4 linked regions of the Tamandua tetradactyla genome follow. The main gene of each other region encodes a partner of the protein of the gene in region 4 in a complex. Links are inferred from orthologs where the notes say so. Each region holds a gene or a part of one and is shown on either strand. Other genes may lie near its edges.

Region 1 (7,380 bases), on a different chromosome or scaffold from region 4:
CGGCGGGACGGGACCACCGCGGCCCAGCGCCCTCCCTCCCGCCGGCGCCTGCTTCCTGCCGCCCCCTCCCCCAGGCCGGGCTGGGGCTGGCGGCCAGGGTCCCCCTCTCTCCCCGCCCTGCAGCCCTCCCTGCCAACTCGGACCCCAGGTGTACTCCTCCTCCCCTCCCTCATCCCCACCTTTGGTCTCTCTTCCCCTCATCCCAGCCCTCCAGCCCCACCCCAGGGTCAATTTTTGCCCCCTCCCATCTGAGCAGTGTTACCAGGCCCCCGCGGTACCGGAGGATCCGGGGCCAGCCTGGGTGGGGTCCTATGGAGCGCCCCAGCGCTCACAGGTGAGAACTGGGATTGGGGGGCAGGGTGCGTGGGGCCCTCGGAGCTGAGTGTGAGCCGGACCCAAGATGGGAGAGGAGATGTGATTTGCATTCTCTCTGCTTTTATTCCATCCCCAGGGACTCCCCCCAGATAGGGGGGGCTTACGCCCAGGAAGTCTGGACGCTGAGATAGATTCTCTGACCTGCATGCTGGCTGAACTGGATGGGGGTCGTGGTCATGTCTTACGGCGACCAGACCAACAGGTGAACCCCTGTCCGGCCCCCTCCTGCCCCCAGCCTGCCCATCCTCCCCAACCTGTCCCTTTCCCTCGGTTCTCAATCCAAATCCAGTCCCCTTCCCCTTCCTACCCCATACACACCCATATTGAAAAGCGTGGGAACGGGAGCTCTTACTAATTGTCTGTGACTCAAGGGCAGGGCCGCCTCAAACACGTGGAAACACATGGTTCCATGAACACATGGTCTGGAATGGGCCTTGGTCATTGTGGTCTGTGTTTCCCCCCAGGCTTATGAGTCCCCTCAGCCCCCTGCCTACCGCTCCAGTTCCCTGAAGCCGAACAGAGGGGGTGTTCCAGCCCTGCAGCTCCCAGCATCCTCCTATGGGGGTCCCACTCCGGCCTCCTACGCCACTGCCAGCACCCCAGCTGGCCCGGCCTTCCCTGTGCAAGTGAAGGTGGCTCAGCCAGTGAGGGGCTGTGGGCCACCGAGGCGGGGGGCCTCTCAGGCCGCTGGGCCTCTCCCTGGCCCCCACATTCCTCTCCTAGGCCGAGGGGAAGTCTGGGGGGCTGGCTATCGAAGCCACCGGGAGCCAGGGGGTAAAGAGGAGGCTGCTGGGGTTTCTGGTTCAGTCGGAGGAGGAAGAGGAGGCGGATATGGGGCCCAGGTAAGCCTGAGGCACTGGGATTTTGCGTCCTCATGGACAACTAGATGCTGATGGTACGGGGTACAGGGTGGAGTTTAGTGTCCTGGTTTTAAATCAGAGTCTGAGGGCCCGGGCCTCAGAGCTCTGGATCCCTGAGGGATGTGGGCAGCCTGGGAAACAGGAGGGAGAGGGCTGCCATTGGCTCTGTGAAGCACTCCTGTACCTAGGGCTGAACTGTTCTCAGATGGGTTTTCTGGGTTGACCTGTCACTGTCAGGAGTAGTTGCCAGAGGTAGGACTGAAACCCCGATTCTTGCCTCCCAGGTCCCCCTGAGCCAGCCTCCGGAGGAGGAGCTGGAGAGGCTGACCAAGAAGTTGGTGCACGACATGAACCACCCACCCAGCGGGGAGTACTTTGGTGAGCAGGGTGGTGGGAAGGGGCAGGGGGTACTAGAGAGTCAGAGGGACGGTGGGCCTGTCTTCCTGGGTCTGTGCAGGCTGACCTGTTTCTTCTCTGACCCTAGGCCGGTGTGGGGGCTGTGGAGAAGATGTGGTCGGGGATGGGGCCGGGGTGGTGGCCCTCGACCGAGTCTTCCACGTGGGCTGCTTTGTCTGTTCCACATGTCGGGCCCAGCTCCGGGGCCAGCATTTCTATGCTGTGGAGAGGAGGGCATATTGTGAGAGCTGCTACGTGGTGAGTGGCTGGGAGGCTGGCATTGGCAGCAGGAGGCAGGGGGCTTCTCTCTAATGCAAGAACTAGCTGTCCAAGCCTAAAAAAGGAACAGGTTCAAAGCTGGGAGAATTGAGACTGAGACAGGAGAAGAAAGGAAGAGTTAGGTAATAGCTAAAGATCTGGGCTGCTGGTGGGGAAGGACAACATTCCTTTCAAGAGCAAGGCAGATGAATTAAGGAGCTGCCTTAAATTCCCACCATGCCCCTGCCAGGCAGGTATTCCTATTGCTTCCCATTTATATAGCTCAGAGACATGAAATGACTTGTCCAGTAACCTGCAGTGCTGAGACTTGAACTCAGGTCCTTTGCAATGATTGTTCACTGAATCACTGGCAGTGGGCTAGATAAATAGATGGTGGGCTGACAGAATGACTGGAGAGCTGCCACGGGGCCCCCTGACCATCCTGCTCTCTTCCCCACAGGCCACCCTGGAGAAGTGCTCCACGTGTTCCCAGCCTATCCTGGACCGGATCCTGCGGGCCATGGGGAAGGCCTACCACCCTGGTTGTTTCACCTGTGTGGTGTGCCACCGTGGCCTTGATGGCATCCCCTTCACTGTGGATGCCACCAGCCAGATCCACTGTATTGAAGACTTCCATAGGTCAGGCCCTGCCCTGCCCTTTCTCTCAGGATGCCCGGCTCTTCCCATCTCCCTCACCTCTGCTGTTTGCCCAGCACCAGTCCTGTTTCTAATCCCTGGCCCTGTTCTTTGGCCTCACTCTTTTCCCTAAGACCCCTGTCCATATCTCTGGCTTCTCCCATTCCCTCCTATATCCCACTTTCTCTGGCTCCATTGGTAGGACCCTCCATCCCTGGGGCTTAACAGCCTCTTTGGTTCCCTTCCATCCTAGGAAGTTTGCCCCACGGTGCTCAGTGTGTGGCGGGGCCATCATGCCTGAGCCAGGTCAGGAGGAGACTGTGCGGATCGTGGCTCTGGATCGCAGTTTTCACATTGGCTGTTACAAGTGTGAGGTCAGAGGGCCTGGGCAAGGGGGAAAAGGGGTTTGCAGAGTCTGGGGTGCTGGGGATGGCAGAGTGATCCATGATAGGGCCAGGAGCTGACAGAAAACTGTGGCTTCTTTCCTAACAGGAGTGCGGATTGCTGCTCTCCTCTGAGGGTGAGTGTCAGGGCTGCTACCCGCTGGATGGGCACATCCTGTGCAAGGCCTGCAGTGCCTGGCGCATCCAGGAACTCTCAGCCACCGTCACCACAGACTGCTGAGTCTTCCCAGAAGCATTAGCTGCGCTCTCAGCTCCCATCAGCCACCCTCCTGACATCTGCCTTTACATCTGTGTCACCAAATGCTGTCCCCTCTTCTGATCATGAAATAATAATCCCTCAAGAGTTTACAGAACACTTTCAAGTCTACTGTCTCATCTGATTGTCACAGCAGCCCCTAACCCAAACACACACAATGGTTATTTTTACATATGAGAACACCAGAGCTGAGAAGCCACTTCCCCAGATTGCAGTGGTTCCCAAATGGCAGAATCAAGATTTGAACCTGGGTCTTCTTAGCTCTCCCTGGTCCATATATATATGTTTTTGCAACTCGACTACAGTCTTTAGCGTAGCTTGGTGTACAGACATCTCTCCGTGCCGGGAGCAAAGGTGCAGCAAGCTCCAAGGAGCTTTTAAGCTTGCATGTAAGCCCGGGGCAGGCAAGATTCTGCCTGTTGGTTGAGTATTGGTTGGGGATAAAGATGGCATTGGCCAATTTTGTTTAAAGATGGGGCGCCTTTGTCGAGAAGCAGGACCACTGGGTTTTGAAGACAGCACACGCTGTGATGCCAATCACGGCTGCTCTCTGGTGGGAGCACAAAATGGTGGGAGGGGGCGATTTAAAATGGTTGCTCTTTTCCCCTCAACAACCCCTCACGCCCCAAGCCCTTGACCTGCCGAAGGAGAGGGTCGAAACCATCCTTAGGTCAGAAGAAACCCCAAGCGAAGAGTCAAGCGCGATGGCTGGATACGAACTGACTTAGGGCCCGGACACAGCTGGCAGAGCGTGACACTACGCGACAGTGGAGGACAACTCCGCTTCACGCCCAGGGGTGCCACTACCTTCGCGAGGATAGTCTTGATCCTGCCCGGCTTCCGTAGTTTCTCTCGCGTGTGCAGTTCTCGTACGGGAGCGCGCGCGAGATTTCCTCACCCCTTCCCATCATCCTTTAGTTCTTTGAGTTCTCGTTCGGCGCGCGCGGGGAGGATTCCGCTGTTCCGGGCGTCGGTCCGCGGGTGACGCAGGCGCGGTGAGAGCAGTTCGCGCCCGCCGACAGTCCATCTCTGGCAGGCCCGCTCCCTCCTTGTTTATTGGCCCCTTCCACCTAGGGCCCCGCATCTACCTCTCTCCTGCCTTGTCGTGCCAGGGCGCGGGCCAGAGTCTCCCGGAGAACAGGCCTGCACGAGTGGGAGGCCAACCGCCGCGACCGCTTCCAGGTGGGGGAGGGGTGGGAGCCGGGGTCTCCGGCTGGCCCTTGAGAAGCTGGGGGACCTGAGCCGGGGCCGATGGGGAGCGCGCTGGAGGCCATTGTCAAGTCGGGGCCGACGGGTCTGGGGCAGGAGCAGGGAGACCCTTGGGGGCGAGTGGAAGTGTCGCGGCCGTCCACCTGCCAGAGAAGAGCAGTTAGGATGGTGGGGACAGTGGCCGGCCGGCCGGCTTTTGCGGGAGGGAGGTGGGCGTGCACCTCCTGAGGGACGATCCCTTCGACTTCCTGTCATTGTTCGTTGCCGCCCTGACCCTCTCTCCCCGGGCTCCAGGCCCCTTCAGACTGCGCTATGGGTGACAGCGATGACGAATATGATCGAAGGCGCAGGGACAAGTTTAGAAGAGAGCGCAGCGACTATGACCGTTCCCGGGAAAGAGATGAAAGACGTCGAGGGGACGATTGGAATGACCGGTGAGACACCTTCCATTCCTTCCTGACTCATTCTGTTGTATTCAATCCTCGTTGCTTTTCTCTTAACATGATTTTATTAGAGTGAACCATATGAAACCGCCGGCATTTGGCCATTTATTGCACAGAAAGGGCAATTTCATATGGTGCAGGCTACTTGCTGTTGATCATAGAACTGTTATGTATGGCTTGATAATAGGAAGGCTGTGAAGATCAAAGCAGTGAAACTAAGAGGTTGAGTTTGAAAAGATAATATTTATGCCTGCACTTAAAGTGTATGCATTTTAATTTTTTTGTTGTTTGTTTTACATGGGCAGGCACCGGGAAACAAACCCGGGTCCTCTGGCATGGCAGGCAAGTATTCTTGCCTGCCGAGCCACCGTGGCCTGCCCAGTGTATGCATTTTATTGTTGGAATATACTTCTAAGAGTTTGCTTCACAAAATTACTATTATTGAATTGACTTCACTGGACTGTTTGAAAGACCAATTCCTTGGCTGGATGTGATTAATTTTTTTGAAATTGTTCCCCCCAAAATCTCTGTATGAGTTATTTTGGCAGTACCAGTTGAATTTATTGATTAGATTCCAGTCAGCAAGTGATTAGTTTACTAGAGTGTTTGTGAGCTATTTAGGTGTCTCCCTTAAGAAACTTCTTAAAGGATTTCAAATAAAGTAATGAGGAGGAAATATGGAAGGACTTTTTATTTGAGGGGCTTCACAAACACTTAAAACAGTGGTTTAGTTTGGAAATCTATTGGTATAAAGAGTTTGAGATGACTTATTGTAATAGCATTCATTCATCTGATATTAAACTTTGTTATTGTTTTGTCAGAAACCTCCAAATGAGTTCTTTGAGTGGTGCTAGTTGAGTTCATTGATTACCTTTGAGTCTGCAAGCTATTAGTTTACTGGAGTGTTTTTGAGTTAAAGTGTTTAAAGGAATAGTTCTAAGGGAGGAAGGAGTTGTGGAGGTGTGTCAAGGAGAGCTCCTGGAAAATGACACTTAGCTAGACTTGGATCAGTGAGTGGGAATTCCCCAGGCACAGGTGGAGTGGGCAGCTTGGAGTTGTGGGTGTAGGTTGTGTGAAGAAGATATCTCATGTTTAGAGTAGCGGTTCTCAGTATTTGTTCCAGTGAGCTTTAGAGGTCTTGGAAAACCCTTTGAGAGAGGGGGCCTGTGAGGTGAAAGCTATTTTCCGAGTAATAATAAAATATTACCACTTTCACTATATTGACACTGGCACTGATGGTGCTGTAGCACTGCTGAGGATAAAGCGTGCAGGCATGCAGGCACCTTAGCACAAATGAGGCAGTGGCACCATTTTCACTTACGAATGTGCTTGATGAAACTATGAAAATTAAGTTGATTAAATCAGATTCTTGAGTATGCCTTTAAAATACCTGCAATGAAATGGGAAAGTGTATAAACCATAGCCGTAGTTCTCTTGAGGAAGTGCACTTGTGTGACTGACTGACTTGTGAGCTGAACTGGCTGCTTTTTATCATGGGACGCCATTTTTACTTGAATGAATGTGAAGCGTGGTTTTTTAGGTTGGGTAATGAAAAGGAACTAAGAACTTGTTCAAGGAAAACAATTCGTTGCCAATGATGAAGTGGAACTTTCAAGTGAAAATTAAAATTTCGGTCCACTTGTATTCATCACTGTGAGCTTAACAGATCCCCAATACTTAAATAATAAAATAGGTGGTAATTTTAATGAATTTGATACTGTGTAATGAAATGTGTAAGAAGTAAGATAAAACAGTGGATTTTAATATTGCATAGTACAAAATGTTCATTGATAACATTGCAGATCCCACATTGCAGTTAACCTTTAGGAAACTGCTACTTGTTGAGTTGGGATCAAAGAAGAATATCCACAGTTTTCTGAAGAGGCATTTAAATTAAATTTCTTCCTTTTCCAACTAAAACAAAGAGGCTGAATTTTCTAAATACGTTGCAACCAAAGCAACATGTCACAATAGATTGAATGTAGAAGCAAATGTGAGAATCCAGTGGTCTTCTCTTAAGCCATACCTTTAAAGATTTGCAAAAATATAAAGCAGTGGCACTTTTCTAGTAAATCTGTTTTGAAAAATAGTCATTTTCCACAAAAATACATAATTTATAGTATTTGTAACTTAAAAATTAATAGGTATTGTTTGGGCAACTTGAGCCATGCATGTAAGGGGTGGTAGCACAGAGTGCTGTGCTTGCATGGCAGTTGTCCTGGGAGAATGTTTGAGAGCCGAGCTTTGGGGTGGCCACCTGGGCTTGTAGCTTTGAGGGTCAGGATGGATGAGTATGTACTGACCTCTGTTAAGAGTCTCATCATGGTGAGAGTGGGGTGGGTATGTCCAGCTTGTTCTTGACGTTCACAGAGGAGACTTTAAGGTGAAAACAATTTCAGTGATGGAAATGAGGCTCAGCTTGTAATATGGGATACTGCTGGTCAAAAGAAGAACGTTAACTCCCAGCTGTTACGGAGGTGCACAGGACATTACATTAGTTTCTGATGTCACAAGACGAGACACCTTTGTTAACCTGGGTCATT
Region 2 (6,834 bases), on a different chromosome or scaffold from region 4:
TAGTACAACACAAGATATTTCCCTCCTTGGAATTTTATTATACCCATCATGACACTTCATTGTTCTCGTGCTTTGCTTTTCTGATTTGTCTTCATACCTCTATTGCTTATCATCCCATCTGGCATTGATGACCACTTGTCTATTTTGCAGCCAAAGATGGCTTTCTGCCCTATGGCTATTAAATCACGTGTCACCTTGAAGACACTCCAGATCCTGGGACTCCAAACTGTCCTCTGGGATTCTTGGCACTTTTGCCTGTCCCTTCCCCTGCAATTGGGTTCACACCCTCAGAATTCCCTGGAGGAATTGTTCTTGTGGCAGTCCATGTAGATTGTATATCTGTCTGTAAAGTGTTGGTATTTCTCCAGCATCAAGTGATGAGTCTTAATTGGTCTGTGGTATAGTGGGTGAGCTGCTTCCCTCCATCTTTCGTCAGGACTTAGAAGAGCTTGGAAAGGGATGCTGGGAAGAATTTGGTCTGTTTCTTCATCAATAAGGTAATGGTGGAATGACAGGCTACTGACTATAAACATGGGAGGCTGCCCCTCCAATGAAGCTAGATGGGAATGAAATCACCTCTTGCTAGAGCAGAAAAGATGGACCCAGTTTTCTCTATCTGAAAAAAAAATAGAAGGAAATTAGTTCTTATACAAGTTCTTCCAGGGAAAATAAAGAACTGCCCCCTTTTCTTTCCTTTCTTACCAAATAGCCAATCTGCATCTGGAAGCTTCATTACTTCCTTACTGCTTCTCCTTTTGTGCGCTTGTTTATATTGGGGGTAAGGGGTTGGGCTGGGGACTGCTAATAGTCTGCTGTTCTGATATCCAGAGACCAAAGAGATAGAGGCAGCAGGCAGGGCAAGTTTCTCAGGCTCCCCACTGCCAGGGGGCGTCACCTCTAGTCCTGAAGAGGGAGCTTTGATAGCAACTTTGATAGGAGGAGGTCAAACCAGGACTTTGGTCATTAGGAGAGTGGGGCGTCTGGCATCAGAGAGGATGTAATAGCCCTTCTGATAGAAAGGCAGGAGGGTGGGATGCCAAATCAGAATACGCCATTGGGAAAGTGGAGAACAAGAGTAGATAGAACAATTCTATTTGTAACTGAAAAGATATATTCCTTTCAAGTATGGATGGAGCAGGACCTAGAATACCTTCTTTGACCTTCTCAGGTCAAAGCAAACAGGGCCAATTTAGACACAATTTTAACCTTCTCCTCTCCTGCTTTTGACTGTAAACTCTTCAGTCACCATTATCCTCCAAAAAGCCAATACCCTAAGGATCCTTCGGGCATATCCACTTTAAGTGACTTACTGGGTGGAGAGTTGTTCTCCTTTTTTTCTGGTGTATTTTCAATTTATGCTTCATTTTTTCAGTGGGACGTTTACTAGTTTAGTTAATGCTCTTTTGATTGTAACTAACCTGAAAAAGGAAAATCTGTTATAAGGATACTGTGTTATATCCTAAAATCTAGAGTCACACAACTAAGACTTGATAAGGGCAGAATCAGGATCCCTTGGCAGTAGGTAATTCAGGGCTTTCTTTTTAGTTAGTCACTAACATGGCTACCAATAATTCGTTGTCTTGAATATGAATTCCTAGGAGTCTGCATCTGATTGCAAACCTCAAACCAATCCCCTATCGCCAGAGAAGAGAAAATTGTTGAAAATACACCTTGTAGGCAAGCCAGGATATGCTCAGCCAGCCACTCCGGTAGGTATCCAGGGCAGAATGGAAAGCTTTGTCACTTGTGAAAGCTTTCAGGTTTCAAACACATCTGGCAGTATTATTTGAAGAGCATCTTTTTATGCCTCTCAAAGTAATCACTGGGTCTATTCCCAGAGAGGACCTGATACAGGTTTAGGAGGGGATCTGTAAGAGGAGGATCAACTGATGGTGTCAGTGGTGGCAGCCCATGACTCATCTTCTTAATAATGGAGATAATGAAGGTGGCAAGAAGGATCCTACTCTTAGAAAGAGCTGCTAAAATGATACTGATACAGAAACCTATAAAAGTAAAAAGCAGGACTGTCTGCATGAAAGCAATACTAATTACAATACATAGCTGGATAGCCTTTATATCCAAAAACCGTGTAGCACCAGGACTGGAACCTCTACTTCATTTGTAAAAGACAAAGCAAGGCCAAAGCTAAGGTAGTAAAAATGGTAGCCAATGGCTATTTTGTTACATGTGAAGTAATAAATGTTTTTGTCAATACTCTAGAAATCAGATTTTTCCTACAAAACATAATTTCCAGCTTCTGAAAAACCATACGATCCAGCACTACCACAACCCCACCCAACAAAACCCAGCTGGCACTGAGAAGCCAATACCCACCCTGGATGGGTTAGAGACTCTCCACTTGGTAACACTGCCCTCCCCATTTATTGCTTGTACTCCAGGGTCATGAGTTTGAAATTCCCAGGGTAGACTCTTCATGACTGAGAGAAAAGCTTAGGTATTAAATTCTGTGTGGCCACCAGCCTAAAAGCCTTTCCTGTGCCTTCAAGCTTTCTCGATTACACGATTAATGAAGTAGCCTAATAAGTGATTACCAGAAATTCAGCTAGAAGCCCCAAAGACAGGGTACTTCTGTATACAATTGATTTCTTAATCATAGGCCCATTAGCTGGAACAGTCCTAGTCTGTATCCCTTACTCTCTAAAATGGGGGAGTAAGAACCCAGGCAGCTTGTTCCAGGGGCTGGTGCTGATGGGTATAGGCAAGCATTGAGGGTCAGGGTAAGGGCAAAGAAACTATAATTAAGGACTGAGGCCCTGGAGACAAGTGCCTGTGTTCACAAACCACTCTGTAAGATGTTTGGCAACTTACAAGTAGCCTCCATTTCCTTACATGTTCAGATGCACTTAGCAAGTTACCAACAAAGCAAGCACTCAATATGTGTTTACTATTACCACGGACCTACAGCCCCCAGGATTCCTAATCCATCCTGCCTGAGAAGTATCACACTCAGGCCCATTCATCAGCTCACACATTTAATCAGGGTATTTTGGCAGCTGCAGGGTTGTCTTTCCGTCAGTAATCTTCTTTGGAAGAGTGCCGGGCTGTACCAGTGTAGATGCAGCAGCATCTATCAAGAATTTCGGTCTCATCTGCAGAGAGCAGGATCTCTTTCAGGCTGTGGCTCTCTGTATGTCTTGTATCTGGGCCTGGCCTATCTTTACCCGTCGGGCTTCGGCGTCTTTCCCCATATTGTATCGGTCCGATCAAAGGGTTTCAACACGCTTGTCGGTTTGGTCTGGGCCTTCCCATGAGTGGGACCCTGTAGTCAGATTTCGGGGCCGTGCGCAGTGCTTCAATGTCGAGGTTGATGTAGAGCCCAGAAGGGAAAGTAGGTGATCTCGACTCGGCCAAGCCCGGGCTTAGGGTTCTGAGCCCGGGCCTCTTTGGCTACCTGGTGGTGACCCCGGGCGGTCCCGAAGGCCGCGGCGCAGTTCCTGGGTGAAGGTGTCTTTGAAGCGGGCAGCACGGCAGCCCAGGGAGTTCGCGGGCCCAGCCTTGAGGCCCCGGAGGCGGCGGACTGCGTCCTGACCGCGCAGCTGGGCCTGCAACAGTGCGAAAGCCGTGAGTTGCGCCGCACGCCGGATGGGCCGCGACTCGGACAGACGCTCCACCAGTTGCGAGCTGTTCAGCAAGGAAACCAGTAGCCGCCGAAGAACCATCCTACCCGGAGCGCCCCGGAACCCGGAGCACACAGCGCACGCTTTCTCATCGGCGACTCCCAACAAGGACCGCGTCCTGCATCGGCGCAACCTGATGACGACACTGACGCGCTTGGATTGGGCCTGGGATTTCCGCTTTCTGCATCCACCATACGCATTTCCGGTTCCGGCTCCGCCTCGGCCACCTTGTTCCCGGCGTCGCAGCGTCCTTATTCACCTCCGTGCACTATGTCTAGCGGATTTCTGAAGGCGCTGCGCAGCGACTCCTACGTGGAGTTGAGCCAATACCGGGACCAGCACTTCCGGGTAAGGGAGGCCGGGCCACGAGAGGGAGGACCCTGGGCCAGTACTCTGAGAAACGATTTGCCCTGTCTCGTTGTTGTGTCTTCCACCCTGATGCTGTCCCTCATATTGAAGTAAGGCCATAGTGCGGCCTGGGGAGACAGGAAATGGATTCGGTAGGGCGTTTGGTTATCACTGAAGCTATTTCCTCTCATAGAAAGGGAGTTCGAGGCTCGCTTTCTCAGTTCTGCATTTGCTCCTTGTACGCGGAGACGCCTTCCTGACCCAGATATCGGGGCTTTTCTTTTTTCTTAATCTAGATTACCGAAACAATGCCCTTTGGCATTTTGGGTCCTTTCCTTTGTCTAGTAGGAAGGTCTTACAGTGTTCTCAGTGGTGGGAGATAAAACTTGAACCCTGCGGCATCCCCCACCACATGGAGTTGTCCGTGTAAAGAGATGGACCAGCCTAGCTAGGCACGTTGAGGATGTCTGGGTGTCAAGATCAGAGAACTGCTGATTTGCGGGAGGGACATTTTATATTGGGCAGTGTCAGAGAAGATTTTTGTGGAAAAGGAGAGCCTGCAGTATTTATTCATGCTGGACTTTTCGTTATCAACAAAGGACATGTGTAAGGCGGTGGTAGTGGTGGGGTGGATTTACCAATCCAGTTATCTAGTAAACATTTAGCTTTTAGCTAAGCCCTAGGGGGAGGGGGGAGACAGTTACCTCACCCTAAGAGCTCTCAACCATCTAGTAGTGATTGTAAAGGTCAGCAGTTTTTAATGTTTACTGTGTGCCAGCATGATTTCCATTTCCACCACTTTTACAGTTCTCATTATTTTACAAAGTTTCACATCATAAGTATCTTGAATTTAAACCATCCTGCAAGATTAAAACTGAAAGTATTCGACTTTTGCTATTACTCATCTCTACAGTCTAAAGCCTGTTGCTTTGATTGGATAGTAGTACAGTACTGCCAGGTGGAATTTCGAGTGTTCCCTGAATGGAATACACACTAATATACCTTAAGTAAATACTTACACCACTGTTGTCTTAAGCCATAGGCCATTAGTTTGACATTACTTACATGTGAGAACAGCAGAAAAAAGGAAATGCCTCCTTACTGTAATTTTTAACATATAACAGTAATATAAAGTGATTTTACTTTTCCTAATGTTTTATTTCAAAGTTCTGAAAACCTGTTTTTAACATAGAATGATTTTTGTACGGATTTTTTATCACATAACTGTGTATTCATCACCATGATCGTTTTAGAACATTTGCATCACTCCAGAAAATGAAATAAAAAGAAAAAGCTCATACATTCCTCCTCCCTCTTATTGACCACTAGTATTTCAGTATGCCCAACTTTTTATTTTACCCTTTACCCCCCTCCATTATTTATTCATTCTTTGTCCGTATTTTTTTTACTCACCTGTCCATACCCTGGATAAATCACACAGTCACATTGTAAAAACTATATAGTTATACAATTGTTTTCAGGAATCAAGGCTACTGGAACACAGTATCTACTAGATAATGCATAAGAATAACCTTCAGGGTAACCTCTCGACTCTGAAATCTCTCAGCCGTTGAAACTTTATTTTGTCTCATTCCTCTCTTCCCCCTTTTGGTCAAGAAGGCTCTCTCAATCCTATGGTGCTGAGTGCCGGCTCATCCCAGGAGTTCTGTGGGCTTTTAAGGGTAGTATGGGATTGAGGTAAGAGTGGGTTTGAATTCCAGCTACAACTACTGAGTAGCTGTTGAACCTTGGACAAGTTACTTAATTGTGTTTTTCCTCTTATGTAAAATGAGTATGATAAATTAGGACCTTCTTCATACAGTTCTGAGAACTGAATGATTTAACATATACATAAAATCTCTGCTTCTCCCAGATTCAGACATAGTTACCAGTTTCTTGTGTGTGATACTTGTGTATATTCAGACTTAATAAGTTGGAACATACTGTTTTCATTGATTTTCTTTTTTCGCTTTGCACTTTTCACTTTTTCACTTTGCACTTCATCTTGGAAATGTTCCATATTGCATGAGGCTGTGCATTTTTCTAGGGGATACATATTTGATGTGCCATATTTATTTAACTTTTTTATTGTATAACATTTATACAAAACAAAGAAAGAAAAAAGCAATAGTTTTCAAAGCACTCTTCAAACAAGTAGTTACAGGACACATCCCAGAGTTTGTCATGAGTTGCCATACCATTATCTCAGATTTTTCATTCTAACTGCTCCAGAACATAGGAGACTAGAAGGAATAAATATTTTATCATCACAATCAACTTTTTTTGTGTGAAAAATATATATATACAAAAAAGTAATAAATTTCAAAGCACAGCATAATTAGTTGTAGAATAGATTTCAGAGTTTAGTATGGGTTACAATTCCACAGCTGCTTCAAGATACTGGAGATTAAAAAGAAATAATCAGTGATTCAGAAATCATTTGTTGTTAAACCCTACCTTCTCTGTATAACTCCACCATCACCTTTAATCTTTCTATCCCACTCATTAGGGGTATTTGGGCTATGGCTATTATAACTTTTTCATGTTGGAAGAGATTATTAATAATATAGGGTAGGGAGATGGAACTATCTGATGTTCTGGAGAGGCTGGGCCCTCTAGGTTTCAGGACTTATCTGGTCCTGCGACCCATCTGGATTGTAGTTTTCTGGAAAGTTACCCCCAGTGTGGAATCTTTGTAGAATCTTATATATTGCCCCAAGTGTTCTTTAGGATTGGTTGGAATGGTTTTGGTTGGGGTTTGGCAAGTTATGATAGGTAGCAATGTCTAATTGAAGCTTACCTAAGAGTGACCACAGAGTAGCCTCTCGACTGTATTTGAACTCTCTCA
Region 3 (6,938 bases), on a different chromosome or scaffold from region 4:
TACCTTCCTTTGGTAGACTTAAGCACCAACTCGAGCTACCAATCTTTTCCCATACAATGACAAACTGTACAGAATTAAAAACAGTACAGTCTTCTTTTTCCATGACAATGAGAAAACATTTTCACTTTATTCTACTTTCTGCTTGCTCTTTTTTTGGCCTTTAAGCAATCCGAGACTGATTGAGACTGGGATGAAATATAAGTAGATAAGCATGACATATTTAATTTTTATTTTTGCTTTTATGCATAGCGTATAGCAATACAGTACTATTATTCAGAATGCTATTCTGATTCTGTTCCTACCTCAATTGCACACATCAAAACAGAAAAAATGGCTAAGCTGAATACGACTGATCAAAGCAACAAATAGGTATCTACCGTTTATGATAAGGAAAATAACAGGTTTGTCTCTCTGAGCTGCTGGTAATTTAGTTTACAGCAAACACCAATAAAAGGCAATACTTATAGTTATTTTGAGAATACCCTCAGAATCTAAGGTTAGACAGTCACACAATCATGAAGCCCATCTTTCTAAGCCTGCAGCCAGTGATGAATAAAGACATTTACTAAGGGTCGACAACAAAGGCAGACACTTTTCATGTTTTGTTTTATTTAAAATGGAAACAGAATACATTCTTAAAGAAAGAACATGGCATAAAAAAGCATTCCCAGTGCAGAACTTTTTCTTCGAAATGGTTATGCACAAGCATCTAGCTATAGTGGTTTTATCTTTTTGTGGGTATGATAACACAAATAACGCTGGAGGTGTGCAGGCTGTAAAAGGGCCACGGTGTGTAACACAAATTTAAAAAAAATTAATCCAATAACACACAAAAAATGAGGTAAAGAATAATTACTGCTCTGCATGTCCTAAGAATCAAGTTCAAGTACACTCACTTATCAAACTGAATAAATAAATCATGTTCTGTCTTACCTTAGAGGTAACATCGATTCCGGTGATGAAGCTGCCAGCCTTGTTTTCGTATCTTCTACTTGTGTCCTAATACAAAAGAGAAGGGTAAGAAACGCTGACAGCAACTGAGAAAAATACCCATGATAAAAGAATGCCAAACAACAGATTCCTTTCAGATAGTCATTCTTTCCAGCAACCCCTCCCCAACCCCAGACATCCCCTTATGAGGAAGCCTGTCCCTGTGACATCAAGGTTAGTAATCAACCACTCTAAAGCGTTCTTTCTAGATCAGAGCTTATCCAAAACTTTAAGTAACTCCATCAACTGACACTGACATTGTATCATTCTTTTGACCTGTCTGGGCCTCGATTTCCTCCATGGTATCTGCCTATCTTCCTAAGGTGTTTCTACTCTCCCATTTGTACCACAGAAGTTTCCATTTCTCCAACAAAGCAACCTTGTTCCCATCTCAAAACCTTTGCACTTGATGCCCCTCATTCCTTGCCCAGAAATGCTCCCTTCCAAATCTGTACATGGCTGGTTCATTTACAGTACAGTTTATTGTCACTATCTCAGAGTGCTTCCCTGACCATCTTATCATATTCTACTTCCCACTTTCCACACCCCACCCTCAACCCCTGCACTCTCTATCCCATTATCATGATTTATTTCCTTTTATTTTTTTTCTTTTTTTGGTATGGGCAGGCTCTGGGAATCGAACCCAGGTCTCCAGCATAGCAGGCGAGAATTCTGCCACTGAGCCACAGCTGCACCACCCTATCATGATTTATTTTCTTCACAGCACCTACCATTATCAGAAATTATTTGTTTACTTGTTTATTATGTGTATTCCCCAATCAGGAGGGAGTTTGATCTTGACCAGGCACCTAGGACAGTGCCTAGCACATAGTTGAGAATGCAATAAATACACAGGTGAATTGAATGACTGAAGGGATGCTAAAACCTACTTCACAACTACAGGGAAATTTAAACGATACAATGTAGTGAAAAGCAAAATGCTATTATGTTAATTGTAGTTACCCTATAAGCCCTAGTGTTTATCTCTAGTGATTCCATCTTGACTTTTTTCCATAACTTCAGTTTAAAAGCAAGACTTGCTGAAATGTGATTAAAAGTAGCTCCTGTTAGCTTAGAAATCAAGTACTGGGTAAGAGCCACCCAGAGCTAAGACCAGCAGTAAGAACCGGGCATATAACTACCAAACCACAAGCAAAACACCTTTCTCACTATCCCCATGAGATAAAAAGGATCCAAAGAGCACTAATGGTCCCGATACTTCAGTTTCATTAAGGATCAGATGCTGGGGCTGCGGTGTGGGTTCTACACAGCAGTGGAACTGCCCTGAGGCAAAATGACCCTCAAGTCACAATAGAAAACACAGTGAGTCTCTGCTGCTGACAAATCCAACCCTCCCAAGAGAGAGACAGAGTGCCATTTTTAACTACACCAGAGCCAGGACCCACGGGGAGACCTGAATGTCGGTGCCACCCAAAAGTCCCTTCTGGGCCGCTCCAGGTTCTGTTCTCGCCCCGGGGTCCCCATTAATCTGAAGCTCCCACAGACAATTCCAGCTCCTACTCGTTGGCTCGGAGAGGTAGCTAAGGGGGTGTCCACAACAACTCCCTAGCTCTGTCCCACCTCCTCCAGCCCCCCAACACCCATTTCCGGCCGCACTGGAGTCCTTTCTCTAGCGCCCCCACTCCCCTCAAACCTGGCGCCCCTGCCCCTCCCCCCCGGCGCTCGCTCTCCTCGCTTCCCCTCCCTCGGCTTCTCTCCGCCCGGGAGCCGGCCGCCTCCCCTTCCGGCCCCCTCGGGCGCCACCATTCCCTCTGCGACCTCCCCCTCGACCCCCGCCCCCCGCCGGTACCGGGATCAGTTCCTTCAGCGAGCGCCGCACCGGCACGATCTCCAGTTCGCCCTCCTCCACCTCCATGGGCTCCGGCTCTCCACGCTCCAAATCGGGCTCGGCCTCAGGCGACGGCAGCCCCAGAGCCGGCGCCACCGGGGCCTCAGCCTTCACCGACACTCGCAGGCCCCGTACGGCCGCCATCGCCGCCCGCCGGCCGCACCACTGAGCACCCGCCCAGCACAACCGCCGGCTAGAGCGCCGCCACCACCGGCCACAGAGGAGCCACCGCCGCTACCTAGAGTGTCACTTGCTTCGTCCAGAGGCCGGCCCTCAGCGCGGTCGCTACCTGGTGGTGGGAGGAACCTGGGGCAGGCTGGGGCGGGACCTGGTGAGGAGGGAGCAGGACCTGCTGAGGGGGCGGGGCCTGAAGACTCGTAGTCTGGGATTTTTTAAAAGCTAACTTTACTGAGTGGTCACTTTGTGCCTGACATTGTTCTAAGCGCTTGAATCTTTACAACAACCCTACAAAGTAGGTCCTATTATTATCCCCATTTCACATGTGAGGAAACCGAGGCATAGAAAATAGCCATTTCCTGACAGGTTATTAGAGGGTAAAACCTGGATCGGGGCCTAGGTAGTGTGGCTGCAGAGCCTAAAATGACATTTGTTCCATCCCCACTGTGCAATCCATATATGCCTTGCCCACCTTTGTCTCTTTCAAGTCTCCCCGAAATTAGCCCGTTTTACATACACAAAAGTTAAGACTCCATGAAGGTAGTGGCCTAGCCAAAGGCCAGAGCTTGAACCTCAATTGCCTGACTCCTGAGGGCTTGATGTACTTACTGCACACCTCTGAGCGTAGTTTCCGTGCACACATTTCTAAAAAGAGCCGGGTTGCAGGAGGGGGTATTCTCTAGGCTTCCAGTCAGCGCCACTGATTTTTTGCTTTGGATACCGGCTTTGCAACTTCCTTGCTTGGGAAGGTTCCAGCCAGTTTCTGGGCATGTTTTCCCATCTGAGGAGAGAGTAAGTGAGCACCCTAGGGTCTCCGGGCCCTTCCCTCTCTGATCTTGGAGGAACAAATAATTCTAAATCAAGGGCACTTGTGATCAGCACCAGTCACAGCTGGGTTGGGGCTGACTGGCTCTGCCCCTCACACCATGTGTGACCTTGGGCAAGCCACTCAATCCTTTGGAAACCCAGTTCCTTCCTGGGTAAAAGGGGACAGTATTATCCACCTCCAACAGAGATTGTGAGGATTAAATGTGATAATTATACATAGATACAGATCCAACAGAAGGGGTGCTTCTTAAATTTGGTCTTTCTTAACTTTGGGCTAAGCCATGGGACAAACATAGAATGGAGCTTCTCAGAGACCTAATTTTGCTTGTTGAATGAGACACAAAGTCGTTAGAAAGTTGGGTTGAATCTAAAGGCATGAAATGGATAGAATGCAAAATTTGTGTGAATTTTAAAGAACAGTTCAAAGAAAATTTGTGCTTGGGGTGATCAGCATTGTTTGACAGTTATGGGGCCACCTTTACATTTGCATTCTAGGCTGCTGGGGGCGAGAAGAGGAGGGACAATCTCTCTTCAGCTATGGACACCAGGAGGCCAGCAGAGAAGGCGGGGCTGGTCCCTCTCCCTGCTGGAAAAGCCTGGCTGCTTGAGAATTCAATTCAGTGAGGAATCTGGCACTGGCACAGTGCAGTTTGGCCCCCAGGGGGAGCTCTAGTAGGCAAGTAAATCAAGAATCCAGGACAAACCCGGGCATCAGGCAATCAAACAGCAGGGCTCCTAAAGCGCCCCTCGGGAAAGGTCTTTGTGCCTTTCCCTTTTTGGTCACCTAACCACAACATCCACTCCCCCACCCCACCCCCATCCCTCCTGCTCTCAGTGCAGCCTGCTGAGGTGTGGCCGTGGAGAATTAGGAGGTGGTAAAGAATAATTTTCAAAAAGTTAAAAATATGACTCTCATACAAATATAAAATGAACGTATGTCAAAGCTTGTATTCAGCTCACTAGTGAGATATTAAGACTAGCTCGAAAGAGAATTTGAGCACTGGATATTTATGGAGCTGGTCAAAAGAATGCCAAAGTGAATTTAACAAGACAGATTAATGCCCTACTAGGTTCCTTTTTTTACCAGACGGAAACATTTACATCACTTGCTATGAATTTTCTATAAATTAACCTCTACCCTTAGGGAGTTGTAAAAATGCCCTAATCACAGCAAATAGGAAGTCAAAGAAGGGACTCATCCCTGGAAAATCAGATAATCCCCACATGGAATAGGCATGTCAGAAAACACTCAGCACTACAATGAGAGGACATCCAGAAATCCTTTTTCCTATTCCAAAGTTTGGATGATTTTTATAAGCAGAAGAAACCAGGAGAGTGGGACATTGGGGTAGACTGGAGAGAGGGTTCAAAAAAAACCAGAGCCATCAATGTCAAGGCCACCTCAAGTTCACAACGGAACTTGGCTTGAGTCCAGTGGTCTGTTGTCCACAGGTTACCAGGAGCGGACAATGCCCATGAAGGGGAAGGCAGGCGAGAAAAACAGACAACTTTTCTGAGAAGTTTGTGAAGGGGAGGCTTGCCCACGTGTGACCTTGGAGACTCAGTTCCTTCCTTGGCAAAAGGGGACAGTATTATCTACCTCCAATGGAGAGTGTGAGGATTAAATGTGGTAATTGCATGTAGATATAGATCCATAGAAGGGGTGCTTCTCAAATTTGGGCTAAGCCGTAGGGTAAACACAGGATGAAGCCCTTCAGAGACCTAATTTTGCTTGATGAATGAGGCACAAAGTTGTTATAAAGTTGGGGGAAGGGGAAGGGTATCAGCTGGGCCTTCAGAAAGATTACTTTTTAAAAAAAAATGAAATTGACCACTCTCTCTCTCCCCATCCAGAGAGGAAGGAAATAAAATCAACTGAACCCTGCCATTCCTGAGGTAAGAAAGGGAGAAGCCATTAAAAGGTAATATAAGCTCCAAAGGTGACAATGGATGCCGTATGAAGACTGGAAGTGGGTTTCACTGCCCACGAAGGCAGAGATGGTCTACAATGCGGTTTTCAACCTGCAACACACAATCCCACCTCCCACCCTCCAGTTCACATCTAAGATCCTGGGAACACGTGCAGGATGGCAGATAAAGATGGGGAAGCAGCTAACCCTGGGGGCTGAGCTGTATCCGTGCCCCCCATCCCTGCCACAAACTCTTGAAATGACTGTCTTCGCTCACTTTCCACATTTCCCTCACCTCCGTGGGCCACTGGGCACCACGGTCACTGGTGGCCATTCCCTGGTTCTTAAAACCACACACACAATGACCTGGTTTTCCTCTTTCCTCAAGCCGCTCCAGCTCTGGCGCTGTTGAGGGGTTCTTCCTCCTCCCCCAAAGTAACAGTCCCTTAGGACTCATCCTGGCGCCTCTTCAGTGTGAGCAGGGGCTGCTGTTGGTGGGAGACTGGAGAGTGGAGGGGGGGTGGCTTTTAAGCCTGGAACGGAGTGGCCTGGGGGCCTCAGAGGTCTGGTCCTGCTGGAAGCTGGAGCGGTGGAGGAATCCGCACACACCAGGGCTCTGCTCCCCAGGTGAGACCCCCTTGGTGTCTTCCCAGGCTCCGGCGGACCCACAGGGCCCAGTACCACCCGCCCGCAGAGGGCAGCCCTGCAGACAGGCCTGCTTGTGTCTACCCCGGGGAGGAGCTCCTGCACGTGTGCCCACCTGGGTGTGGTGGGGGTGACTCCAGGATCTGAGGGTGTTTGTATGTGTCCCACTCTGTGTCTGGGTATCGCCTGGGAAAGCTGGAACCCTCAGTGGCCTGGACCACCCCCCGCCTCCCCTAGGCTGAGACCACATACGATGATGGAGGTGGGAGGTGGGGAAAGTGGCCGAGAACAGAGATCCCAAAGGGCCCATGGGACCCAGAGCCCAGAGACGCTGAGAGAAACCAGGACCTTCCAGGTCACACCCCACACTTTCCCCCAAGCCTTTGCTGGGCACCCGTGGAGCTGGGTTTGGCTCCCTTATGTGGGCACATCTGGAGGTGCATCTCGGCTCTGATTTCCCAGGAGTCCTTCCTTTTATGTCGGGTCCACAGTTTTACTGGAGTGGAGCTATGGTGGGAAGACACGAGTGGGCAGGGGAC
Region 4 (7,144 bases):
CTTGAGCCTTTACACTTAGGTTCCCTCTGCCTGAACCACTGCTCTTCCCCAGAATCCATGTAATTTTCCTGCCTACCTCCTGCAGGCTCACAATCAGATGCTAGTATCAGATGGCCTTCCCTGAACAGCTACATAAAATATTAACTCCTCTCCTTCGGTCCTGTCTCTAGCCCATTTACTGATTTTATTTTTCTCCACAGCACTGACCACCATACAATACACTGCATTTTACTTGATTGATTGCTTTCTGCCTATCTCTCTATACTAGAATGGAGACTCCATCTTTAAATTGTCTCTTGCAGTACTGCCAATTATTTGACAATTATTCTGGACAGTGGCTGACACTATTACATATTGGTCAAGTAAATGACTGCATCCAAGTATACGGAAAGTCAGGGCAATTGCTGACATAAGCGAGAACAATAATGCAGAAGGGCTTGAAGTATCCATTTAATCCTAACGGTATTAATTCTGATTTTAAAATAGCCTCCTATAATATTTAAGCTTTCATGTTATTTTAAAAAATAAGTAGAAGTTTAACTAAAAGGGAAACATTCTGATTCAGATCCATTTTAGGGTAAACTCCAACTGACCACTACCTATAGTGCGGCAATTTACAAAAGTTCTAGATTTCATATATTTCAAAGAACTATAAACTGTCCCTCTATTACTAAAGCATCCACCATTGTGGACTTCGCTTCATCAATTTCTTATTCTACTTCTCTTTGTCTTTACTTGCGTACTGATACTCCAGCAGCAAGACCCACATGGACAATGATGAGCTACATCATTGCTGCCATGCTGCCAGCTGACGTTCAAAATCCCACAGAAAGTTATGAAAGCTTTCCAATAATCAGAAACAAGTTATTTTTCTAAATATTTGCATTCCATTCCTCTGGGTTGCCTTCTGGGACCATCCCCCCTCCCTTTCTGGATGCCCTAGAAAGGAGAGAGAGAAGAAAGAGTGGAGAAAAGAAAGCACAAGAAGAGCAAGGAACATGAGAAGAACAATAGACTCAAGTTCTCTAAATCCCAAGAGATGACTTCAAACATATTAGTTTTTGATTAGTCAAATCCATAATACACAAAGACTGTATTTTCCATGCTCTGTACGTACACGTTAGCAGTCACTTGTTAAAGTATACCACACAGCAGTGCCTGTGTAGTGAAGAGTTCTGGGCTTGTCTTCTCTGGTGTCTGGGCACTGATTACTTTGTCTCCATGTTAGTTCATTACACTCAGTCTCTGCACCCTGTGGTGTCAGATGGATTGTGAATAACCTCTCAAGCCATGCCCTAGCAGAAATCTGGTGTTTCACTGCTAAAACTAGGTACAAGTGAGTCTGTCCTCATCCACAAATGCTCAACATTCAAGGAGAGAAAACAATAATGGAGAATTATCATTAAAATTAAGATTATCAAAAAGTTAAAATTTTTGTTTTGCATTTTTCTTACATTGTTGGCACGTGCCACTATTTATGACCTCTTCAGCATTAAACAGACTATAAAATAAACATCACTGTCAAGCATTACTCAACCCTCACAAAACCCAAAACAGATTATCATTATTTTTACTTTATAGATTACAGTTTAAAGAAATTAGATAACCTGGATAAGACCACAAAATAAATAATGGGGTCTAGCTTTGAAACCATCAGCTCTCTGATTCCAAAGTTTGGTCTCTTACCCATTACTCTACAATTTAATAAATGATTCACTAAAATATTAAAACAGATTTAAGCACAGGTGTTTTTTTGACTGGATCTGTGTTCATGACTGATTTTTGTAATGCTTATGTGAAATGTGAGTATCTTTTTCTACTTTTTTTACTAGAAAAAGTCTTAGTTCTTAGTATCTCTGTGAGCACAGCACCCAATGGAAATGGAACCCCTGATCTAAATTTCAAAAAGATCTCCAGTTAGTTTTCCAGCACTCTTAATTACATGATGGAAAACGCCTAAGGCCAGTTCACAACCTAATAAAACAGCATGGGTCTGTTTACTAGTGACCTCTTGAGCGGAGAGAAGACACAAGATTCCTTTTCTGAAAGTTTGAACAAAGTTGAATCAATGGATGATGGTAGGTACAGGAGCAGAGTAGGCTGCAATTCATCAGCTCTTTGAGTCAGTGCTTTGTTTCTTTTCTTCAATTAAGTTTCCCTTAGAGGCCTTTTCAGGTTACTTTGAAGGCCAACTTAGAAGGTTAAAATGAGACACTGTGTCCCTGCCACTGCCCATCTAAGAGGTAAGGACACAGACACGGGTCTACTTCCTGCTCGGCAGAGCCAGGACCAACCCCTGAAGCGTCTTTAGAGACCAGGAGGTCTCTAATCACGGGCTCTAATCACGGGCTAAAGGCGCGAGGGCTGCGGGCAGCAGTCGCTTTCTGGAACCCACCTGGCCACACCCCCGCTCTGCCAGCCTCCTAGGCTCCGCGGCTGTACGAACTCTACCAGGGGAGAAGGGCTCTCCATTCCTTCCCTCGAGACCCGAAGGCCAAGGAAGCCGAAGCTAGGGCGCGGCAGCCAGGGCCGGGTCGAGGGCACTCACCGTCGTTTTCGTCGCTGTGCCGCCGTCGCGACATGCCGCACGTCGGTGCGCTTCCGAGGCGAGACGCCGGGCAGGAGGTGCGGTAGGAACCGTCGGACACTCAGCCGGCGCGACCACAGCAGGCAGGCGCGCGGATCCGCCGGCGCGCAGGCGCACTCGCTGGCGACGGCTCCCGGAAGCGCAAGGATGAAGGTCGGCCGGGTGGGCTAGCAGACTCGGCTGCAGGAGGGCCGCAGGTGTCTGCACGGCACGCAACAGCCCCCTCTTCTGCTCGACTTTCCTTCGCCTCGCGGCTGCTTTCTTCTCCTGCCTTTCGCTCTCTGTCCTTCCGGGGCCACGCAGAAAGCGCAGCTGCTTCATTCAGGTACAGCTCGCCGGCTGCGAGCGGCCTGGGGCGGGGCAGGAATGGACGGGAGGCGGAGGTCTGGGCGGGACGCTCTTTCCCCAGCCCTGGATCCTCTCGGTGGTTTTCCCGGCGGCCCTTGCGCTAACGGCCACTGAGATTTCCGTGGCCAAGTTACGTCGTGAGCGTTTTTCCCTACGTCAACTCGCGGCTGGGGCTGTAAGGCTTGAAGGCCGTGAGCAGCGACAATTGCTAAGCGGAGACTGTTCAGTGAGCCCATACCTCGGCAAGGCTCCGGACTGGCGGGTATGTGCTCGACGTACTACCGCTTCCCGGTTTTCGCCTACGCGGGAAGCTGTGCGGAGAGGTTGGGTCAGGCTACGCGGGGTTGCCCGGGCGGAAGGCGGGCCCCACGTGCCGCCCACTGTGATAGGGGAGGCCCGCCTGCTCGGAGCACCTCGGTTGTTGTACGTTTCGCCTCCGCGCGTTAGAAGGAGCTTGTTGGCCGTTTTAGTAATTCGTTTTCAGTACTTGTGGGTTGTCAAGAGAAACTAAGTCACCATTATATTCAGAACTTGCAGATTTTTTTTAAAGAAACTGCTGGAGCAGAGAGATCTCAAACTGGAGGAGTGAGTCTCCAATGAGAGCAGGCCACAGCGACTTATAGAAACGATTAGGGAATTTCAAATGGAAAGTTAAGATTGGTTGACGGCTAAGTTTTTCATTACATAGGGTCTTACAAAGCAGAGAACAGATAGCCATTGGTTAGTATAATGTATTTGTCCATTTTTAATAGGCTGTCCTTACTGGTCCGAGATCAGCTTATCATCAGGTGTCGCAAAAATTGCAACTTTATCGGGAGTGCTATTTCCTCAGAGACCTGTACTTGAATCCGTGTCATTTTTCGGCAAGGTGATCGCTACCGGTAACTCCCAAGGCAGTCGGCTTTTAAAAATCTCATTTCGCAGCATATACTTATATATGAACACCTCCGGCCTTGGTGAGCCCCCACCTGTTTATCTGTCTCTCCTTGGTCATTTGAAATTTCACTCTCCCTACCCATTTCAGTAAATGGCACCGTCCATCTTGTTGCCCAATCCAAACATCTAGGTAGGAGTCATTCTTGAGCCCTCTTTCCTTCACTTCCTGCATAGCAATTATCCATAAACCCCACTGGTTCTACTTCCAAAGGAGATCCAGAATTGGTGCACTCCTCACTACTGCTGGCTTTTTAATCCGAGCAAGTGTCCTCTCTCACCCTAATAAGTGTAGTAACTTGATTGGCCTACTTGATTCCTTGCTTTCTTAAAATTCTACACAGCAGCCAGAAGGTTCTTAAGATGAGAATCAGACGGTGGTGATCGTTTGTCTAAAACCCACAATGACTTCTGTGGAGGACTCTGTACTGTGGCCTTCCTGTTCTACCTGCTCATCACTGCTCCATCCACTTTGTCTTCTTGTTCCTCCAGTAAATCAAGCTTGTTCTCTCTGTAGGAGTTTATATTCCCTCTTTCCCTTGCCTGAATGTTTCTTTTATTTTTATTGTAAACAACAAGCAAACATACAAACATTCTTGACATGGTTACAATCATTGGCTCACAGTATCATCTTTCGTGTGTTCATCACCATGATCATTTTTTTGAACATTTGCATCTCTCCAGCAAAAGAAATAAAAAAGAAAAACTCATACATGCTGTACCCCTTCCCCTCCCTCTCACTGACCACTAGTATTTCATTCTATTCAATTTATTTTAACTTTTGTTCCCCCTATTATTTGTATATATCTTACCATATTTTTTACTCATCTGTCCATACTGTAGATACAAGGAGCATACCTGAATGTTTCTGATCCCAGATCTTTGCTTGGCTGGCTCCTTGTCATTTAGGGCTCAGCTGAAACATCAGGTCCTTAGGTCTTCCCTAGATACCTAATTAAATTAGCTGGCCCTGCCACTAGGTCATTCATAGCTATTTTATTTCACTCAGACATTCATTCAACAAATACTGTATTTATTATTTAGCACTAGTTATGTGCTAGGTACTGTTCTAATTCTTGAGGATGCAGCAGTGAACAAAGGAAAAATCTGATATTGTCATGCCCTGTTCAGGAATGGGCAAAGGGATCAGTGCAATCAGAGAAGAGAGCAAAGAGAAGTATGGATCAGAAAGGTAGTGAGAGCATGGTAAGGACTTTGGATTTTTATCTGAGAAAGTTGAGAAGTCTTTGGGGGGGTGATCTGACATTATTAAAAAATAAGTCTGTGTATTATTAAAAAATATACTTTGGCTCCTACATAAGAAAGGCAGTCAGGCTATTGCAGTGATTCAGGCAAGACCTGGTGGTGGCTTGAGCTGGGGTGGAAGTAAAGATGGTGAGAAGTTGTTTGACCTGCTTGTATTTCCAGAGCAGAGCTCAGGAAATATGCCAAAGTTGTTGCCTGATGTATTAGTTTGTTAAAGCTGCCAGAATGGATTATACCAGAAATGCAATGGCTTTTAAAAAGGGAAGTTATTATGTGTTTACAGTTCTGAGACTGTGAAAAAGTCCAAATTAAAGCGCCAACAAGAGGTTACTTTTATTCAAGAAATGTTGATGCCATCTGGAACACCTCTGTCAGCTGGGAAGGCACGTGGCTGGCATCTGCTGGTCCCTTGCTCCTGGGCTCTATTGCTTTCAGCCTGTTCCTTTGGGAGTTCCTCACTTGGTTTTTGTGGGCCTTCACTTAGCTCCTCTGGGACACAATTCTGGGTTCTGGCTTGCTTAGCATCTCATGGGAAGGCACATGGTGATGTCTGCTGGGCCCTGTATCTGCAAATGTCTGGGTCTTTTGGTTCTGTCAGCTCTGAAGCAACTATTCTCCAAGCATCTACATCAGTTCTATGCTTTCTCAAAAATGTTTCCTCTTTTAAAGGACTCCAGTGAACTAATCAAGACCCACCCAAAATGGGTGGAGCCATATTTCCATCTAACCTAAAGGCCACACCCACAGTTGGCCACCCCACACCTCCATGGAGATAATCTAATCAAAAGAGTTTCTGCCCTACAATATTGAATCTGTGTTAAAGGACATTGCTTTTCTGGGGTATACAACACTTTTAAGAAAGCACACCTAAGGAACAGGAAGAATGATTTATATATTTAGTTTTACTGAGGCAAGGAATACCAGAGAAGAATAGGTTTGGTTCCAGGGAGAGTACCTTAATAAGAGTTTGGTTCTGAACAGTTGTGTCTGAAAAGGCTATTAGACATCCAGTTGAAGCTATCCAGGAGAAGAGTCAGCTACATGAATTTGGAATTCAAGGGAGAAGTCCTAGTTGGAGATAGAAATTTAGAGTAATTTACTGTATAGTGTTCTAAACAATTTTTGGTTCCTTTATAGTTGTTTCCCCTTTTTTCTTTCTTTATTGAAAATTTTAGGTATTTACAAAAGTAGAAAACTTACACAATGAACCTTTATGTGCTCATTATCAAGCTTCAATAATCATCAGCTCATTAAGGCCAAGCCGGTTTCACCTATGTTCCCACCCAGCCCCCGACCTGCATCATTTTAAAGCAAATAGAGTTTAAAGCTTTCAGACTAGATTAATTCACCCAGGGAGTGAGTGTGAATAGAGCAGTTCAGCACGTAGAGGTTGGGACCATGAGGAGGATCCAGCAGAAGCATGTGGTTTTTACATGTTTGCTTATTTGTTTCCTTATTTGATGTTTCTCTCTCTTTACTAGAATAGAAGTTCCAGGGGCACAGGGGCATGGACTGTTCCAGTCAGAGCTGCCTCTTCAGCACTGTTCTTATGTCAGGCACACAATCGTGCCTCTGCAAGTAATAGTTAAAAGTATAGCTATAATTAGACTAAAGCAAGAGCTGAACGAGGATTTAGAGCAAGAGGGGGCAGGGGCAGCCCTTAAGGAGTGGTGGGAAAGGCATGTGCAAAGCATGGCTTCTGTGTGGGACTAGGTGAGGTCCAGGTGGCCAAAGCAGAGTGCCTGGCCTGAGATGACTAAGAGATGGGGCACTGGCTGATGGAGACGAATGTGTGAAAGAAGTGACATGTGAGCTAAATCTTGTTAAAGGTGTTTAGCATTTGGATAGGGAGAGAGGAGAGAAGTGAGTGTAAAGGAACAAAAAGGTGTAAGGAATCAAAGCTGGAGTGAACATGGCATCTGAGTGGGATGGTGGAGAGGCCAGGTTAAGCAGCAGGTCCTTTATGAAGCAGGTTGGAAAAGAAACCAGTGCCTGAAGTGGGGTCAGATG

What was found.
Region 1: the proteins of NCBP1 (region 4) and SRRT are in contact, whole or in part, in a cryo-EM structure (PDB 8PMP), measured with the Homo sapiens proteins. The link is inferred for Tamandua tetradactyla from reciprocal best matches to the Homo sapiens genes NCBP1 and SRRT. Residues at the interface, in NP_002477.1 of Homo sapiens: Tyr461, Gln463, Lys511, Lys557, Ser558, Ser560, His561, Ser564, Ala567, Lys568, His570, Lys607, Ile609, Arg610, Thr611, Gln612, Met648, His651, Glu705; in NP_056992.4 of Homo sapiens: Asp857, Pro858, Arg859, Val862, Glu863, Tyr864, Arg865, Asp866, Leu867, Asp868, Ala869, Asp872, Asp874, Phe875, Phe876.
Region 2: the proteins of NCBP1 (region 4) and NCBP2 are in contact, whole or in part, in a crystal structure (PDB 5OOB), measured with the Homo sapiens proteins. The link is inferred for Tamandua tetradactyla from reciprocal best matches to the Homo sapiens genes NCBP1 and NCBP2. Residues at the interface, in NP_002477.1 of Homo sapiens: Glu32, Cys36, Leu71, Thr74, Val75, Arg77, Leu78, Leu79, Ser324, His325, Trp326, Lys327, Glu328, Arg329, Lys330, Ile368, Val370, Met371, Thr374, Glu378, Asn415, His419, Ser422, Asn423, Gln425, Lys455, Arg458, Leu459, Ser460, Tyr461; in NP_031388.2 of Homo sapiens: Gly4, Leu5, Leu6, Lys7, Leu9, Arg10, Ser11, Asp12, Ser13, Tyr14, Glu53, Glu54, Gln55, Tyr57, Glu58, Leu59, Lys62, Ser63, Asp65, Lys67, Ile69, Tyr89, Asn96, Arg99, Tyr100, Asn102, Gly103, Thr104, Arg105, Leu106.
Region 3: the proteins of NCBP1 (region 4) and NCBP3 are in contact, whole or in part, in a cryo-EM structure (PDB 8BY6), measured with the Homo sapiens proteins. The link is inferred for Tamandua tetradactyla from reciprocal best matches to the Homo sapiens genes NCBP1 and NCBP3. Residues at the interface, in NP_002477.1 of Homo sapiens: Lys330, Ile377, Glu378, Cys380, Lys381, Pro384, Pro388, Gln389, Ala392, His420, Asn423, Phe424, Gln425, Arg427, Trp428, Ser429, Glu431, Asp432; in NP_001107590.1 of Homo sapiens: Glu572, Asp574, Glu576, Leu577, Gln578, Ala580, Trp581, Gly582, Leu584, Ile585, Lys588, Glu589, Arg592.

What each region holds. Positions count from the first base shown.
Region 1 is NC_135349.1:8,881,881-8,889,260, forward strand, and holds the start of SRRT (serrate RNA effector molecule homolog), read left to right. Parts: upstream 1-4,375; 5' UTR 4,376-4,436; coding exon 4,437-4,562; intron 4,563-4,688; coding exon 4,689-4,828; intron 4,829-7,380. Other genes in the region: TRIP6 (thyroid receptor-interacting protein 6), read left to right, coding at 207-334, 452-577, 840-1,217, 1,520-1,613, 1,720-1,889, 2,350-2,528, 2,779-2,899, 3,018-3,149. UniProt on the Homo sapiens protein: Acts as a mediator between the cap-binding complex (CBC) and the primary microRNAs (miRNAs) processing machinery during cell proliferation.
Region 2 is NC_135336.1:16,605,890-16,612,723, forward strand, and holds the start of NCBP2 (nuclear cap-binding protein subunit 2), read left to right. Parts: upstream 1-3,834; 5' UTR 3,835-3,908; coding exon 3,909-3,986; intron 3,987-6,834. Other genes in the region: protein NCBP2AS2, read right to left, coding at 3,381-3,680. UniProt on the Homo sapiens protein: Component of the cap-binding complex (CBC), which binds co-transcriptionally to the 5' cap of pre-mRNAs and is involved in various processes such as pre-mRNA splicing, translation regulation, nonsense-mediated mRNA decay, RNA-mediated gene silencing (RNAi) by microRNAs (miRNAs) and mRNA export.
Region 3 is NC_135332.1:57,853,466-57,860,403, forward strand, and holds the start of NCBP3 (nuclear cap-binding protein subunit 3), read right to left. Parts: upstream 3,005-6,938; 5' UTR 2,984-3,004; coding exon 2,801-2,983; intron 1,000-2,800; coding exon 934-999; intron 1-933. UniProt on the Homo sapiens protein: Associates with NCBP1/CBP80 to form an alternative cap-binding complex (CBC) which plays a key role in mRNA export. NCBP3 serves as adapter protein linking the capped RNAs (m7GpppG-capped RNA) to NCBP1/CBP80.
Region 4 is NC_135328.1:14,734,333-14,741,476, reverse strand, and holds the start of NCBP1 (nuclear cap-binding protein subunit 1), read right to left. Parts: upstream 3,007-7,144; 5' UTR 2,583-3,006; coding exon 2,549-2,582; intron 1-2,548. UniProt on the Homo sapiens protein: Component of the cap-binding complex (CBC), which binds cotranscriptionally to the 5'-cap of pre-mRNAs and is involved in various processes such as pre-mRNA splicing, translation regulation, nonsense-mediated mRNA decay, RNA-mediated gene silencing (RNAi) by microRNAs (miRNAs) and mRNA export.